2 linked regions of the Drosophila melanogaster genome follow. The protein of the gene in region 1 interacts with the protein of each later gene in a pairwise test. Each region holds a gene or a part of one and is shown on either strand. Other genes may lie near its edges.

What was found. Proteins that work in one complex are often made in the same cells at the same time.
Region 2: the proteins of wor (region 1) and AP-1mu interact in a two-hybrid assay, tested with the Drosophila melanogaster proteins (one large-scale study listed by BioGRID).

What each region holds. Positions count from the first base shown.
Region 1 is NT_033779.5:15,423,833-15,427,586, reverse strand, and holds the start of wor (worniu), read left to right. Parts: upstream 1-2,006; 5' UTR 2,007-2,156; coding exon 2,157-2,244; intron 2,245-2,306; coding exon 2,307-3,754.
Region 2 is NT_033777.3:9,557,685-9,561,438, reverse strand, and holds AP-1mu (adaptor protein complex 1, mu subunit), read left to right. Parts: upstream 1-1,913; 5' UTR 1,914-2,189; coding exon 2,190-3,011; intron 3,012-3,070; coding exon 3,071-3,529; 3' UTR 3,530-3,727; downstream 3,728-3,754. Other genes in the region: MBD-like (Methyl-CpG binding domain protein-like), read right to left, coding at 27-516, 826-1,167, 1,408-1,598.

The sequences.
Region 1 (3,754 bases):
GATCAGAAACAGAATATTTTTGTTGAATATTATTGTATATTGTAGAATGCTTAAATATACATTAAAGAACTCGGGAGACTTAGCACTCTAATTATGGCAATCTCTAAAGGTTTTTTGAATCTTAAACACTTCATAAAAGATCAGTATCAGATTTTTTGATCTTAGAGTATTGAAGGCATAATTTGCTTACCCTGAATTAAAATTTCATTATAAAAGATGAGCCAACGAAGCATCAAAGACCGATTAATAGTTTCTCAATTCCAGTTAATTATAATTCAAAAATCACTTTTCAATGTACCATCAGAGAACATTTCCTATTGTTACAAGGATCACAACACATCCCGGCCAGCTGAGTTCGTTACAGGATTTTGGCGCCAAATACCCGTGGCATGGAATAATCAGTTCCAAGACGAAATCAGTTCCTTGTGGTACGTGTCACAGTCGGCAGATGTGGGAATAGATGATGATCGGGGGGTGCGACTCTCCTTGCAAGACGCTCGACGAGGGGTTGGCTAGAAAGTAACGTCCAAAACTGCAATTCCACCACCATCACCGGCTTTATTCCGACGAAGGTTGTCTGGTGATGCCGTGGATTTTGGGGTGGGACCACTGCGCCAGGTAGATTTGCACGAACCTCTCTCTTTTGGCGCATTCCAAGGCACTCAGCTCCGTTCGGAAAAATAAAGCCAGGTAACTGTCCGGGCACATGCCCATTTTGGGGTGGATTGGAGGTCGCTGGCAGATGGCGGGATTCTTTAATATCGGGAATTGAAATTTCATGGCCGTTAGGGGGTTATTTCTGCCGAGTGCACCGATACACGAGGAGGCGGAGAACCGGAACAATACTCTGGGAAAGGTTGATTTACCTTAGATCTGCGCGCTGTTTGTCCTGGTGATTAATATTTTTGTGGACGTCTAAGTGGGTACATTGCATTGTAGCTTGGCTCGATTTAATGGCGGAGCCAATGTCACGTGCTGATCCTACTCAGCTGCCAGCCGGAGAGGATCGCTCCGATAAGGATCAATTGGAATCCTAAGTGCTTCTTTTCTTCTGTAACAGCGTGCGATTTTATACAACAAATGAAAAGCTTTGAAAGAGAAAATAGAACAACTTTCCTGTACCTTTATTGTAATATCTTCTATCTTAATGATTTTAATTGAGAACGTTTTAATTATTATGGTATTTAAATATTTGGGCATAATTTCCTAAGTCGAGCCCCTGAAAAATCTTCACACTCTCCGATCAGCAAAGTCAGCCGAATATGTGATCGTTTAAGCTCAGCTCAGAAAAATTTGAATAGTAAACATAATAAGAAGCTTAAGAAAACACAGCTGAATTATCCTCCGAATAGCACAGAAAGCTATCTCTTAAGTTCGTGGGACGACTGACAGTTGGAACAAGAGCGCCCCAAAGAGCGAAGAGAGTTGAAAATTGTGGGGTACGAAACTTCTCTTGGTGGGGCTCCAAAGAGCATGCTCACCTGCTCACGAAGAGCAAACGTCCATTAGGCTTATATACAAAGCGATCGTGTGAGGCGGACCCGAAAGAGGCTTATAAATAAACTTGATCGGGTATATAGCAATAGCAAGCTCGCCACCAGCTGCCGCTCACTCATACCATTGAAATTCAGGGGAAATACGAGCTGAACCAGAGAGGCAGCTGGTGGCGATCGGCGAGTGGAACGGAGAGAGTCCCTGTGGCACGTGCTCGCTTTTTACACACAGATTTGTTCCTCTCGTCTCCAGGTCCCTCCCTCTCTCAACGATTCTCTATATGGCAGTGGTACCCCCGGACTGCCCGATCTGCAGCTGTATCTGCGTTCAATGAACGCACAGCTGTGGCTCGATCGCTGAATGGATCTTTTGGCTCGTGGTTCGGGGTGGATTTACAGAATCCCGGGCGACATCGGAAGTAGGTAGACGCCAAGATCCTTTTTGCCCAGGGGGTTGATCATCCTGCCAGGGGGTTGATCGGGAGTCTATAAAACCGGACTGATCCTTGCCGGGTTGCATCATTCGAGCAAGGAACTCCAAGCGATCGAGACGCGTGTGGCGAAAGCAAATGAGTGAGCAGTGATTTAAGTTCAAGGATCGGTATTAAATACAAAATCGAAGATCAGTGATCAGTAACCATAAGGAATAATAACATAGCAACCATGGATAAACTCAAGTACAGCCGCTGCCCGCTCAAGAAGCGTCCGATAATGGTGGAGGAGTCCAGCCCAGAGGATCACCTAAGTCATGGTAGGTTTAAGGCTACGGAAGTGATTTACAGGCATATTTTAACTTTATGCTGATTTCAACAGATGAAGGACCAGTGGACTTGAGTGTGGCCTCGGCTGCAGTGCCTATGGAGCCCCATTGGATGGCTAAATCCGAACCGGAACCTCAGCCGGTGCCCACGGAATTGAGGCGCCGCTTCGATGCAGCCATGAATCAGACCAAGGAGCAGTTGGCCCGTCGCATTTGGGAGGAAACCCGTGAGATAGCCCGCGCTTTTCCGGATGTCTTCACCCGGGAGGAAATCGCCAAGAGTCTTGCTCGCCTGGGTTACGGCGAGTTCGAGTTGCCACCTGAGGAGGAAGTAATGGAGCCGGAGCCGGAACCAGAACAGCATCTGCCTCTTCGATATACAAGAGATGCTAGCCCAACCATCATCAAGGCTGAACCCTCTGATGAGGAACAATTTCCCCTGCGAAACTACAATAACAACCTACTCAAAAGCATAGCCGAGTATGAGGACTGTATGAAAATGCAGAACATCAAAGAGGAGATACCTCCGATTCCATCACCCCAGTTGTTCTATCCACCCCCGACTCCACTGGCCGAACCGGAGGACCTATCCGTAACCCAGAGGAGAGTGCTGAGCGAAAACATGAATCTGCAGAATGTGGCCAGAGCTTTGCTGAGCATGCAACACATGGCTCCGCAACATGCGCCGCCTCCGATAGACATGGAAGAGGATCAGGAGAATCAGGACATCAACCAGCTGAAGATCAAGAGCAGCAATGATCTGTACTACCAGTGCCAGCAGTGCAACAAGTGCTATGCCACCTATGCAGGATTGGTAAAGCATCAACAAACGCACGCCTACGAAAGCACCGAGTACAAGATCATTAGAAGCCAGCCTGGAGGATCAGGTGCGATAGTCGACCAAACCGAGTTTTGCACGGATCAAGCTTCGGCTTTGATTCAGGCAGCTAATGTAGCCTCAGCACAGAGCATGCAAAAGCCAGTGGGAGTGCCGCGATACCATTGCCAGGATTGCGGAAAGAGCTACTCCACCTACTCGGGACTCTCTAAGCACCAGCAGTTCCATTGTCCGTCGGCCGAGGGCAATCAGGTGAAGAAGGTCTTCAGCTGCAAGAACTGCGACAAGACCTATGTGTCCTTGGGCGCCCTGAAGATGCACATTCGCACGCATACCCTGCCCTGCAAGTGTCCCATCTGCGGCAAGGCGTTTTCGCGACCATGGCTCCTCCAGGGTCACATACGCACCCACACGGGAGAGAAGCCCTTCAGTTGCCAACACTGCAATCGGGCCTTCGCGGATAGGTCAAATCTCCGCGCGCACATGCAAACCCATTCGGATGTGAAGAAGTACTCGTGCCCCACCTGCACCAAGTCCTTCTCGCGTATGTCCCTGCTGGCCAAGCACCTGCAAAGCGGTTGCCAGACTGAGCAGAGTGGAGGTCCCAGTGGGTCAGGAGGGGGCTTTGATCAGCAGCAGCTACAGCAGCACCTCCAGGTCTAC
Region 2 (3,754 bases), on another chromosome or scaffold:
AGATGCATGGGGGTTAACCATTGAACTCATGTCTTGAGTGCATCCTGCAGCTTTCGCCGCGCAACTCCGACCCGATCCTCCTGTTTGCGTATGTCGTCCTCCGAAATGATCACCGCGTGCATTAGCGGTTGTTCAGGATTCATAAACGCCATGGCATTCTTGGTCAAATCAGCCTTCGTAGAACTCTGGCCGTGTACGCCGGCGTTGAGCATATGCAGGGCCGTGGCCACCGACTGGAGGACGGTCTGTTCGTTGACATTGGGGCCAACGGTGCGTATGGTCTTGGGCAGTGAGATGTCGTCTAGCTCCTCGCCACTGTCGTGGCAGGCGCGTAGTCGTTCCAGTCGCTTCTCCCAGAACAGCTGTTTCGGCTTCTCCCGAGTGCCATGCTTGGGTTCATTCTTCGCTTTGGCGGGATCCTGTTTATGGTTGCGAATCACCGTCACCGGTTGCTTGAAGATCGAGGCAGTCTGTCGAATGGGAGGCACCAGGGAGACATCAGTGCGCAGGGCTCGGCTGTAAGGGATTAAAGATTGGAAATGTATTAGAGAAACGCCTTCAAAAAGCTAAAACACCGAACAGCACATTAGACAAAGCGTAAAGTAAAGCTTTAGCATGCAGAGATGGTGGAACATAAATCTCAGGTGGCACAGAGCTACAGCGTTTTTGAAGACAACTACGAATTGTTTTGCCAATTGTGTGTTTCTTTGGGTATTTTTTCATTTGATGCTTTTTAATTGCCGCAGGCTGTAGACCTTGCGTCCTGGCAAACAAGACATGACACGCTGACATGCAAGAGTCAAGTGCTCATCCACTTGGCTCTACCTGAGTTCGATCTGTTGCTGCTGGCGATTGGCCGTTGATGGTGAAGCAGATGCTGCTGTCGCTGTTGCTGCTGACGAGGCGGTCGCTGCCGGAGGAGCAGCTCCTGCTGCTCCTGCAGCATTGCCTCCTTGACTCCGGGCGAACTTGCGCTTGAGGGCATTGGCCGCCGATCCGCTGGTGGCCCCATTACCGCCCCCGCTTGCTATAGGCAGCGGCATGGCGCTGCAGCGGTACAGCGAAATGGAGGGCGAGGGCAGGGCGCAGTGCGGCATTTTGCCAGGCTGGAAATCAGGGATTGCAATGTCCTGTGGCTTTCCCTCCGCCCTTTTTCCTGTGGGACTGCTGAACAGACACGGCGGTGGATGGATATTTTTGGTGGGTTAGGTGGTAGTTCGTGTGCGTGTGTATACATAGGCGTATGCGTGTGTGTGGTGTATATGGTGTGTGTGTGTGTGGTTATGCGGATGTAATAACAGAAAGGTAGTGAAAGTGATTATAAACGTTTATCCGATTAAACAGCGTGCAGTGTTCCGATTTTAGGTATATAGTAGTCTATATAGTAATTCTGCTCTTCTTCTTTACCTGTAGTAGAAAACATCCACCTTGTTATTGTTGTTGTTGCTGCTGGCTGTGGCACTGCTGTTGTTGTTGCTGCTGGCGTTGTTATTGGCGCTGCTGCCGGACTTTCGGACCTCGTCGCGCTGCCATCCCTTTGGCAGGACACTGCAGTCGACGCGTTTGCGCTCGATTGTGACGCTCGGGTTCATTTGCATGCTCGCCGAAATAAATAATTAACAATTCCACAAAAGCAGCGTCTGGGCTAGCAGTGTGGCCGTACTGCGGATGGCCACAAATGCCGGATGGCACAATAGTGATGCTAGATTACATTCTCCAATATATTTATGATTTGAATTTAAAGGTACCAATGGGAAAATGAAAATAATTTAAAAGGTATTTATTTAAAAACAGAAACCTTAAGATGTTACACCTTGCACATTTTTCATTTCCTTTAAGCTTAATTCGCTAGTTAATCAGCAGTAGACCAATCTCACCTGGCCACACTGCCCAACACCTGATGTGAACATTTCACAGCACTGGTGGGCCAACTAATAAGAAAAAGAAGCAGCAGAAAAGGCGACGTAAGAAATTCCGGAGTTTTCATTCGCATTTTCCAGTCTACGAAACGGAATATGTAAATCCAGCCCATTGATAGACCTAGCCCACTCATCGCCACCTCGCGACAGTTGCCAACTTCCACGCGCAACGCCTGCCGCGAGCAGTAGAACCATCGAAGCGACCTCCCACTCGATCCAATTGGGAATTTTACACCTGGGACAAGTGGCAGCTGCTGGGAACCAAGAGACATGTCTTCGTCGGCCATTTTCGTTCTGGACGTGAAGGGCAAGGTGCTGATATCGCGGAACTACCGCGGTGACAACATCGACATGGCCGTGATCGACAAATTCATGCCATTGCTGATGGAGCGCGAGGAGGAGGGCCTAATCACTCCGATCCTTCAGACGGCGGAGACTACATTTGCCTACATCAAAACGAACAATCTTTATATCGTATCCACGACGCCGCGCAATAAGAACGTTAATATCGCTCTGGTCTTCGTCTTTCTGCACAAGATCGCGCAGGTCTTTGTGGAATACTTCAAGGAGCTGGAGGAGGAGTCCATTCGGGACAATTTCGTGATCATCTACGAGCTGCTGGATGAATTGCTCGACTTTGGCTACCCGCAGACCACCGACTCGAAAATTCTACAGGAATACATTACGCAGGAGGGTCATAAGCTGGAGCTACAGCCCCGCATCCCGGTGGCCGTGACCAATGCAGTATCCTGGCGGTCCGAGGGCATTAAGTATCGCAAGAACGAGGTGTTCCTGGACGTTATCGAGTCGGTGAATCTTCTCGCAAACGCCAATGGCAATGTGCTGCGCAGCGAGATCGTGGGCGCCATTAAGATGCGCGTCTACTTGTCGGGAATGCCAGAGCTGCGACTGGGTCTCAACGACAAGGTTCTGTTCGAGAGCACGGGCCGCGGCAAGTCAAAGTCCGTAGAGCTGGAGGACGTCAAGTTCCACCAGTGCGTGCGGTTGTCACGCTTCGAGAATGACCGGACAATCTCGTTCATTCCTCCGGACGGCGAGTTCGAACTGATGTCCTATCGTCTGAACACGCATGTGAGTATTTTTATGTACTTAGCACCAAAATGCAAGACTAACTAAACCCCTGTTGACAGGTCAAACCCCTGATTTGGATCGAATCAGTGATCGAGCGGCATGCCCACTCCCGTGTGGAGTACATGATTAAGGCGAAGTCTCAGTTCAAGCGAAGATCGACGGCCAACAACGTGGAAATCGTCATACCAGTGCCCGCCGACGCGGACTCACCCAAGTTCAAGACCACCATTGGAAGCTGCAAGTACGCACCGGAGCAGAACGCAATCATCTGGACGATCAAATCGTTCCCGGGTGGCAAGGAGTATCTAATGCGGGCACATTTCGGTCTGCCGAGCGTGGAAAGCGAGGACAATACGGAGGGCAAGCCGCCAATTCAGGTGCGCTTCGAGATTCCCTACTTTACCACGTCGGGCATCCAGGTGCGCTATCTGAAGATCATCGAGAAGAGCGGCTATCAGGCGCTGCCATGGGTGCGGTACATCACGCAGAACGGCGACTATCAGCTACGCACCAATTGAAAGGGGCAACTCCCGTTCCTGCATCATTCCAGCCAAGCTTCAGCGAGTCATCCTGCAACAGGTAGCTTCATCTCCACCCGCGTTTTTGTCTGCGATGCGTTGCGTTAAGTCAAAAGTATATATTTGTATTCGTATTGTTTCAGTATATGTATATTGTATGTAAATCAAATTTAATAAATTTTAACACCTTTTCATAACACCTGCACCAGAGTGGGTCACTTTGTA